Drosophila melanogaster: one gene and its partner. The protein of the gene in region 1 purifies or fractionates together with the protein of each later gene. This does not show direct contact. Each region holds a gene or a part of one and is shown on either strand. Other genes may lie near its edges.

The links. Proteins that work in one complex are often made in the same cells at the same time.
Region 2: the proteins of Act5C (region 1) and glob1 purify together in Drosophila melanogaster (affinity purification with western blotting; one study listed by BioGRID). This does not show direct contact.

The regions. Positions count from the first base shown.
Region 1 is NC_004354.4:5,899,298-5,905,931, forward strand, and holds Act5C (actin 5C), read left to right. Parts: upstream 1-1,563; 5' UTR 1,564-1,716; intron 1,717-2,684; exon of another isoform or gene 2,685-2,799; intron 2,800-3,392; 5' UTR 3,393-3,400; coding exon 3,401-4,531; 3' UTR 4,532-6,102; downstream 6,103-6,634. UniProt on the Drosophila melanogaster protein: Actins are highly conserved proteins that are involved in various types of cell motility and are ubiquitously expressed in all eukaryotic cells.
Region 2 is NT_033777.3:15,901,624-15,906,312, forward strand, and holds the start of glob1 (globin 1), read right to left. Parts: upstream 3,021-4,689; 5' UTR 2,879-3,020; intron 962-2,878; exon of another isoform or gene 820-961; intron 761-819; exon of another isoform or gene 579-760; intron 1-578.

The DNA of each region.
Region 1 (6,634 bases):
ACGGTAGTGGAAGGAAAGGGGTGCGGGGCAGCGGAAGGAAGGGTGGGGCGGGGCGTGGCGGGGTCTGTGGCTGGGCGCGACGTCACCGACGTTGGAGCCACTCCTTTGACCATGTGTGCGTGTGTGTATTATTCGTGTCTCGCCACTCGCCGGTTGTTTTTTTCTTTTTATGCTGCGCTCTCTCTAGCGCCATCTCGCTTACGCATGCTCAACGCACCGCATGTTGCCGTTTCCTTTTATGCGTCATTTTGGCTCGAAATAGGCAATTATTTAAACAAAGATTAGTCAACGAAAACGCTAAAATAAATAAGTCTACAATATGGTTACTTATTGCCATGTGTGTGCAGCCAACGATAGCAACAAAAGCAACAACACAGGTGGCTTTCCCTCTTTCACTTTTTGTTTGCAAGCCGCGTGCGAGCAAGACGGCACGACCGGCAAACGCAATTACGCTGACAAAGAGCAGACGAAGTTTTGGCGAAAAACATCAAGGCGCCTGATACGAATGCATTTGCAATAACAATTGCGATATTTAATATTGTTTATGAAGCTGTTTGACTTCAAAACACACAAAAAAAAAAATAAAACAAATTATTTGAAAGAGAATTAGGAATCGGACGCTTATCGTTAGGGTAACAACAAGAAATGCTTACTGAGTCACAGCCTCTGGAAAACTGCCGCAAGCCAGAGAGAGAGAGAAAAAGAGGGAGAGCAGCTTAGACCGCATGTGCTTGTGTGTGAGGCGTCTCTCTCTTCGTCTCTGTTGCGCAAACGCATAGACTGCACTGAAAAAATCGATTACCTATTTTTTATGAATGAATATTTGCACTATTACTATTCAAAACTATTAAGATAGCAATCACATTCAATAGCCAAATACTATACCACCTGAGCGATGCAACGAAATGATCAATTTGAGCAAAAATGCTGCATATTTAGGACGGCATCATTATAGAAATGCTTCTTGCTGTGTACTTTTCTCTCGTCTGGCAGCTGTTTCGCCGTTATTGTTAAAACCGGCTTAAGTTAGGTGTGTTTTCTACGACTAGTGAATGCCCTACTAGAAGATGTGTGTTGCACAAAATGTCCCTGGAATAACCAATTTGAAGTGCAGATAGCAGTAAACGTAAGCTAATATGAATATTATTTAACTGTAATGTTTTAATATCGCTGGACATTACTAATAAACCCACTATAAACACATGTACATATGTATGTTTTGGCATACAATGAGTAGTTGGGGAAAAAATGTGTAAAAGCACCGTGACCATCACAGCATAAAGATAACCAGCTGAAGTATCGAATATGAGTAACCCCCAAATTGAATCACATGCCGCAACTGATAGGACCCATGGAAGTACACTCTTCATGGCGATATACAAGACACACACAAGCACGAACACCCAGTTGCGGAGGAAATTCTCCGTAAATGAAAACCCAATCGGCGAACAATTCATACCCATATATGGTAAAAGTTTTGAACGCGACTTGAGAGCGGAGAGCATTGCGGCTGATAAGGTTTTAGCGCTAAGCGGGCTTTATAAAACGGGCTGCGGGACCAGTTTTCATATCACTACCGTTTGAGTTCTTGTGCTGTGTGGATACTCCTCCCGACACAAAGCCGCTCCATCAGCCAGCAGTCGTCTAATCCAGAGACACCAAACCGAAAGACTTAATTTATATTTATTTAATTAATTTTAATAAAACACACCAAATGTAAGTAGCTTTCCCCTTCCCAACAACAAAACACCATCGAACCACTCCCACCAAGAAAAAGCAATAATCGAGAAAAGCCGCGGAAAATGTGTGATTTTTTTTGTAAACAAAACATTTTTTTATGTGCCAGTGCTGAAAGTGATCAAAAAATACTAGCCACGAGCTAAAGAGTTATTGTATTGACCAAAACTCCAAAAATACCCAAGTTTGGCCCTAAATTGTCAATCAAAATACCAATAGGTCGAAAGACATCAAAATTAACAAAACCAGGGTTTCAAATACCATAACTCAAGAATCAGGATTACAACTGCAGATTTCAGGATATATACATACAAATTATACGAAATTATAAAAACCAAAGCAATTCAATAGCCCCAACTCAAATGTTAGGATCTAATATAGTGTTTAAAGCCAAGCTCGCTGATGTGGGCGTGTCACGATTTCACCCAAAGATATGCCAAATTACGAATTGCAAATCAATTCGCCAACACTTTCTTTTTTTCCCACGCCCTAAAACACCAGATCATCCATAAATGTACATACATACAGTATATGCATATTATAATCTGTAAAACTAGATCAGGTTCTTGAAAATAGTGACGTAGGCAGCCGTTTTGGCTGAAGCAGAAATTTTTGCCGGTTTTTCAAAGTTGTAGTTGCAAAAATGGAGAAAACCTTCGAGCATTCGTTCATATACACACACTCACGCGCAAAATAACGAGAGAGAGTGTATGTGTGTGTGAGAGAGCGAAAGCCAGACGACGGTTTGCTTTTCGCCTCGAAACATGACCATATATGGTCACAAAACTTGGCCGCCGCAATTCAACACACCAGCGCTCTCCTTCGCACCCATAGCGACCATGGCGCGGAGCGAGCGAGATGGCGAGAGCGAGCGACGCCTATGGCGACGTCGACGCAGGCAGCGATTGAAAAACGCAGTTAACTGGCATTCAACATTCACCAGCCACTTTCAGTCGGTTTATTCCAGTCATTCCTTTCAAACCGTGCGGTCGCTTAGCTCAGCCTCGCCACTTGCGTTTACAGTAGTTTTCACGCCTTGAATTTGTTAAATCGAACAAAAAGGTAAAGTTTAACTAGCTTTGAAAAGTTTCGTGGCTCTTAATTGTTAAATTTTCTAGAGTGCGTTTAGTGTTTTTTTTTTTTTTTATTTTGTAATGTTAATTTCGGGTTCCAATTCGAGTTTTAGGCAGCCGCCATTTTAAGGGCGCATACACACAGGCAACTGTGCTCTCTTTGCGGCTTTCTTTTGCACCGGCATTCGTTAAGTGTCGTCTAGAAGCTTCTCCCCTCCCTTTTCGGCATATTCGTATTGTGGTTTTAATTTTTCGGGGCGGGGCCTTCTATTTTGTAACTGTTCTTTTAATTTCTTATTACAATTCGATCGCAAGTGAAAATCAGTTTTCAATCGGAAAAGTATTTTTTTATGAAATTTTTTTTGTCCAAGATTAAAATTTTGTACTAAAAAAACGTACATTGCATTGAGTGATTTTTAATTGTACACGAAAAACAAGTTAGTTTGTTATGACAATTGTACTTTGGTAGACCAGCGCAGTCCAAGGAAACCACGCAAATTCTCAGTTTTTTTTTTGCCATTTCTACATTACCAAATAAGGTAACCAAAAACTAATGGGAAATCCGCATTCTTTCCATTGCAGCTTACAAAATGTGTGACGAAGAAGTTGCTGCTCTGGTTGTCGACAACGGCTCTGGCATGTGCAAGGCCGGATTTGCCGGAGACGATGCTCCCCGCGCCGTCTTCCCATCGATTGTGGGACGTCCCCGTCACCAGGGTGTGATGGTCGGCATGGGCCAGAAGGACTCGTACGTGGGTGATGAGGCGCAGAGCAAGCGTGGTATCCTCACCCTGAAGTACCCCATTGAGCACGGTATCGTGACCAACTGGGACGATATGGAGAAGATCTGGCACCACACCTTCTACAATGAGCTGCGTGTGGCACCCGAGGAGCACCCCGTGCTGCTGACCGAGGCCCCGCTGAACCCCAAGGCCAACCGTGAGAAGATGACCCAGATCATGTTCGAGACCTTCAACACACCCGCCATGTATGTGGCCATCCAGGCTGTGCTCTCGCTGTACGCCTCCGGTCGTACCACCGGTATCGTTCTGGACTCCGGCGATGGTGTCTCCCACACCGTGCCCATCTACGAGGGTTATGCCCTTCCCCATGCCATCCTGCGTCTGGATCTGGCTGGTCGCGATTTGACCGACTACCTGATGAAGATCCTGACCGAGCGCGGTTACTCTTTCACCACCACCGCTGAGCGTGAAATCGTCCGTGACATCAAGGAGAAGCTGTGCTATGTTGCCCTCGACTTTGAGCAGGAGATGGCCACCGCTGCCAGCAGCTCCTCGTTGGAGAAGTCCTACGAGCTGCCCGACGGACAGGTGATCACCATCGGCAACGAGCGTTTCCGCTGCCCCGAGGCCCTGTTCCAGCCCTCGTTCTTGGGAATGGAGGCTTGCGGCATCCACGAGACCACCTACAACTCCATCATGAAGTGTGATGTGGATATCCGTAAGGATCTGTATGCCAACACCGTGCTGTCCGGTGGCACCACCATGTACCCTGGCATCGCCGACCGTATGCAGAAGGAGATCACCGCCCTGGCACCGTCGACCATGAAGATCAAGATCATTGCCCCGCCAGAGCGCAAGTACTCTGTCTGGATCGGTGGCTCCATCCTGGCTTCGCTGTCCACCTTCCAGCAGATGTGGATCTCCAAGCAGGAGTACGACGAGTCCGGCCCCTCCATTGTGCACCGCAAGTGCTTCTAAGAAGGATCGCTTGTCTGGGCAAGAGGATCAGGATCGGGATGGTCTTGATTCTGCTGGAGGAGGAGGAGGAGAAGTCGAGGAAGCAGCAGCGAAAGTGCAAGTGCGAGTGGTGGAAGTTTGGAGTGCAGCACAACAAAATCAACAACAACACCAACTACAAGATGAAAAGAGCGGAACCACCTGCACACCATCATCATTATCATCATCGTTTTGGGCGCATGTTGTGTGGTTCCAGCGTATTAATATAATTAATTTATTCCACATGAGATATGATATGATATACTATGTATTTTTTGTTTTTTTTTTATTTGTAAACCTTTAATATAACAAGAACTACAAAAAATGAAAATGAGCGAAAATGCATATTCTGCCATTCCACACACACACCAACAACACCCAACACACGCACACCCACAAGCTTACACACACACATTCGCGGCATGACAAGGACATCAAGATAAAGAAGAACTTAAAGAAGATATTTCCCAAAGCGCAAAAAGAACACACACACATTGCAAAACACAAACAACACACTAGCGTTTTGTACAATTCGTCAGCAACCTTATGTATTATTTTTTAATTATGATGTAATTATAAACAAAGTGAAACAAAAATATGAAAACAAAAAGGAAAATCAAATCTGTCTTCTCTTTCTCCCGCTCTCCTCGCTCTCTGCTGCTAACCTCGCCCTCTCCTCTCTCATCTTTTTGTCTGTCTCTCTTCCACATTTTTGCCGGCCGGCAAAATAATAACCCACACACACTCACACTTGGCTGCAGTTTCGCGTGCGATATTCACACACATTCAAGCATACAAGCATACATACATATGTATTTTTTTTTTATTTGTACACTTTTCTAATTGCATGCGTATCGATTGATAAGTTTACGCCTGAAAATGTTAATTAAAATGTGAAAATGCAACTGAAAAACTGATGAAATGAAACAACAACAAGCGAACAATTTGCTACATGTGTATTGTCTAACAACCGTTACTGCAACGGTTGCTTCGGAAAAGGGTGAAGAGGAAGAGGGCACGAGGTCGACGAACTAAGGCTGCGACGACAAGCGGCTGTCTCGCTCGCACGCACGCACGCATGCGGGCTAATGATGCGATTAAAGTGCCGTTTTAAATGGCCAAGATCCAAATAAAAGTCGAGATAATAAGGCAAACACGCTAACACAAATCGCTGGCATAGTTTCATCCGCCAGTTTGGCCAAAAGCAGCGGCTGCAAGCGCCGTTTATCCGGTTTTTCCCAAACATTTTCCATTCATGCGGCCAAAGAGGAGGAGCACCCATCTTTCCATCTTTCTCTGACTCGCACGGGCAATGCAGTGCACCGGAAAGAAAGTGGTGCGAATTGGGATTTATAGACTTACTTTATAGACTTACACGTACAAATATACATAGATATTATATTATTTAAATACATTTTTATTATATTGCTTATATATTAGTTCGACTTCGATATCATTTCTGCCAGTATAATTATGGGCTCTGCTTGATTTGGCGCTCGGATGCTACGGTAAAAGTTATCTTTCTGTGCTTTCTCCTTTGATTCTTGAGTTTCAACGGTTCCGTTTTTGTTGATCTCGTTCATCTTCTTCTTCTTGCGTTCTAGACGTTCTCCTTTGTTTTTTGTTCACAACGGATTTCGTAGCACCTTGAGCGGTTTAAATATACATACATATGTAATACATACATAAATACATATGTAGTTAGTGTTTTTTTTCGATATTCGTATGCCCAAATGTTCGAATAATTAGTAGGTCTCATTAAAAACATCACAAATTAAGAGTAAAGCAATAAAAATATAGAAATATGTAGTATAAAATAGTATTCTAGGACTAAGATTGGTCATACCTGCGGTTTCTATGTGAATATGATGCGATGTGTTGCTTCCCCACTATCTACAGGGTATCGCACTCTACGCTTACAAAGTATGAGCCTACCAACTGAATATTCAGCGATGTGATCCCTTTTGGCCAAGGGTCAGCAGCGCGATTGGCCGGATTTCAATATTCCCGCCTTGAGTCCGCCGTACTTCGCACAGAAGCACTTGGAGCAGCGACACGTGCGGATTGATATACGACATCGAAAAC
Region 2 (4,689 bases), on another chromosome or scaffold:
TGCTGTCACATTTCATAACAAATTCAAAATGGGACGACACCTGTCGAACCAACACGCCCAAATCAAACATTTTCCAGTGACACCTGTGGACCTTCCGACGTTTTAAAGGAGCGTAGTCAAAGTGCTGGCCCCAAAACAAAGCTATCTCTTAAAAGCTTGGGCTTAGAACAGGAAAAGCTTACTTAACCGTTGGGCAGTGGCTTTCTTCAAATGCGCAATGTAATCTAAGCTTTAGGAGCTATAAACAAATATTTGTTGTCGTGATGTCTAAGCTATCTTCAAATATAATTATGTAATTAATCCAGCAAAACAAATGAAAGCACATTTTGTATTAGAAATGAAAAAATTCAAAGATTTTTAAAACTAGTTAGGTCGACTCTTAATATTTCGATGTTTAAGATTCGCAATATGACAAATCTTTTCAAACACTCCATTCAGTTGTTTTGTTTATTTGTTTATTCTTTACTTCAACAATAATCTTCTATTTGTTCTTATCAATATATCACATGCACAAGTGAAAGATTTAGCCTTATCGTGGCGCTGTACTATTTTTATAAATGTTTATTCACTATCACTACCTTAATAAGCCTCCATCAGTAATTTTCAATAAACCAAGTGGCGGACAAACAAACAAGCACTGCCAATTTATACCCAACAAAATGCGTTGCATTCAAATATCACACCGCACACGGATTGTTTATTTTGCTACTATATGAACGGGAATTGTAAGCAACGTCGATTTACGAATGCAATCACTCTACTATAAATATTTGCATAAATATGGATGGGATAGAACACTATTTTCCAATTCACACTCACAGTTTATATCAAATGCCAGGCAACTGCACACGACGCCGTTAATATTTGAACTGAATAGAATTTCTAGCCCGACTGGCCTTTATAAAAGACTTCCGAGCGGCAACAACAACTGACACAAAATAAACGCAGCAAACGAAGCTACAAAAGTTTCCGAGCTGATAATCTTCGTACACTATCATCCAGAGAGGTCAACTTGGGTGAAAGTATACGTATGGGTCTTTCATTTCGTAAGATTTGGTAAATATTGTCTGAGACTGCTTGTCACAACATTAGAACGAAGCGAATCAATAAAACGCGCGCTCCGAATTTTGAAGCTTCGGAGTTTTAGGAGTCAGGAGATTAAAAGAAGCAGCAAAATCCAGTTTTCGGCTAGACTACAAGACATAATTACTTTAAGTATAAAGAACTAACCTTGATAATCAAATTTACCTATACCTAAGCTTAAAAAAGGCAAACATTGTATTCGAAAATATTAGATGATTGTAACAAAGCAAACAATTCGCTTCACTGTGAAGAATAAATCAAATGCTAATCCAAAACATAATGTATCAAATTACAATATTTGTAAAGCTCTCCTTTAGTACACTAAATTCTTCTACCAGGTGGATCCAATCCAAAAGCAAACTGCAAACAAATAACACCTTTCGTGACGAGCTATTTGTTTTCCCGTGCCTTGAATAATTATTGATCAAGGTTAATTTAAATATAGCATGATGGATATCTTGGTATTAGATTGTGAAAGTTAATGTCGTTTTCGTCATTCCATCTTTGGCGACAATGTATTTAATTTTATTTACGTTTTAAAGACTATTTTCAACTAATTGTAGGAACTGCAGTCCAGACAATATAAGAGTAAAATCTTGTTGATATTAAAAAAAAATCAAGCCCTAAGAAAATTTCGCACTGCAATTATAGGTGTTCAATTATACAATATTTTGTTCACAATTTATTGTCAATTTTTTTTCAAATCACGTCACAGTTTCCTGTTGAAGTTTTTTTTGTTAAACACAGTATGGTTTAAGCCCAATTTGGAAGTAATTATATTACAGTCGAGACTTTAATACAAATGACGCTATATTCGCTGAAACAAACAAATTAGTAAGTGCGTGATTAAATTATTTGTTTAGTACTTCCAGATGAGAGAGGCGTAGTTCAACGGGGGCTTTGAGGTGTGTCATTTGCCCAAAACAATTGATATTCCGATCAGGCGTAGAGCCCACTTATGGACACTCCCCCGATTTGCTGTCACATTTCATAACAAATTCAAAATGGGACGACACCTGTCGAACCAACACGCCCAAATCAAACATTTTCCAGTGACACCTGTGGACCTTCCGACGTTTTAAAGGAGCGTAGTCAAAGTGCTGGCCCCAAAACAAAGCTATCTCTTAAAAGCTTGGGCTTAGAACAGGAAAAGCTTACTTAACCGTTGGGCAGTGGCTTTCTTCAAATGCGCAATGTAATCTAAGCTTTAGGAGCTATAAACAAATATTTGTTGTCGTGATGTCTAAGCTATCTTCAAATATAATTATGTAATTAATCCAGCAAAACAAATGAAAGCACATTTTGTATTAGAAATGAAAAAATTCAAAGATTTTTAAAACTAGTTAGGTCGACTCTTAATATTTCGATGTTTAAGATTCGCAATATGACAAATCTTTTCAAACACTCCATTCAGTTGTTTTGTTTATTTGTTTATTCTTTACTTCAACAATAATCTTCTATTTGTTCTTATCAATATATCACATGCACAAGTGAAAGATTTAGCCTTATCGTGGCGCTGTACTATTTTTATAAATGTTTATTCACTATCACTACCTTAATAAGCCTCCATCAGTAATTTTCAATAAACCAAGTGGCGGACAAACAAACAAGCACTGCCAATTTATACCCAACAAAATGCGTTGCATTCAAATATCACACCGCACACGGATTGTTTATTTTGCTACTATATGAACGGGAATTGTAAGCAACGTCGATTTACGAATGCAATCACTCTACTATAAATATTTGCATAAATATGGATGGGATAGAACACTATTTTCCAATTCACACTCACAGTTTATATCAAATGCCAGGCAACTGCACACGACGCCGTTAATATTTGAACTGAATAGAATTTCTAGCCCGACTGGCCTTTATAAAAGACTTCCGAGCGGCAACAACAACTGACACAAAATAAACGCAGCAAACGAAGCTACAAAAGTTTCCGAGCTGATAATCTTCGTACACTATCATCCAGAGAGGTCAACTTGGGTGAAAGTATACGTATGGGTCTTTCATTTCGTAAGATTTGGTAAATATTGTCTGAGACTGCTTGTCACAACATTAGAACGAAGCGAATCAATAAAACGCGCGCTCCGAATTTTGAAGCTTCGGAGTTTTAGGAGTCAGGAGATTAAAAGAAGCAGCAAAATCCAGTTTTCGGCTAGACTACAAGACATAATTACTTTAAGTATAAAGAACTAACCTTGATAATCAAATTTACCTATACCTAAGCTTAAAAAAGGCAAACATTGTATTCGAAAATATTAGATGATTGTAACAAAGCAAACAATTCGCTTCACTGTGAAGAATAAATCAAATGCTAATCCAAAACATAATGTATCAAATTACAATATTTGTAAAGCTCTCCTTTAGTACACTAAATTCTTCTACCAGGTGGATCCAATCCAAAAGCAAACTGCAAACAAATAACACCTTTCGTGACGAGCTATTTGTTTTCCCGTGCCTTGAATAATTATTGATCAAGGTTAATTTAAATATAGCATGATGGATATCTTGGTATTAGATTGTGAAAGTTAATGTCGTTTTCGTCATTCCATCTTTGGCGACAATGTATTTAATTTTATTTACGTTTTAAAGACTATTTTCAACTAATTGTAGGAACTGCAGTCCAGACAATATAAGAGTAAAATCTTGTTGATATTAAAAAAAAATCAAGCCCTAAGAAAATTTCGCACTGCAATTATAGGTGTTCAATTATACAATATTTTGTTCACAATTTATTGTCAATTTTTTTTCAAATCACGTCACAGTTTCCTGTTGAAGTTTTTTTTGTTAAACACAGTATGGTTTAAGCCCAATTTGGAAGTAATTATATTACAGTCGAGACTTTAATACAAATGACGCTATATTCGCTGAAACAAACAAATTAGTAAGTGCGTGATTAAATTATTTGTTTAGTACTTCCAGATGAGAGATTCAAGACACGATGTTAGTAATTAAAAGAGACTTTGGATGAAATTCCTTAAGTACCAAAAATTAGTAGGCTTGCCACGTGCCATATGTTCCCACAAAAATATGAATTGAATTTTAAATATCTATAGGTACTAGAAGTATTGTGGAAAAGAATAATTGGTTTCATTCATGCACGTTTAAAGACTGATTCAATTGTAAACCTTTTTATAAAATGAATTAAAATATAAATGATTATCCAAGGTAAAACAGAATATTAGTTTTTCAGTTACATTTTATTTATATTCGTTTGGCTTAGCTTTATTTCTTTAGGAAACTAATTGTTTTCCTACTTTGACTGGCCGCATAAATTATACCATATGCTGCACATTGTCATTTATGTCCTCAAACTTGAAATTTGGCATGGGGGCCCAACGAATCCGCTCCTGAGTAAACAAAAGGCTGCTCGCGAGGTGAAAACAAACCACAACAATGATCCCCCAGAGAGCGCCGAAAACGAAAATAATTGGAGAGGGAGAGCGTGTTATCCAATTTTTCGGGGGAACTACTTGTGTGTTCAGCAAGCATATGAGCGGCCAGATCCGCAGTGTGGCAAACCCGCTCAGTATCGTTTCAGCCATAAAGGTAGTTGGTCGGAAAGAGCAGATAAAACTCGATCAACGCGAGAGTTTT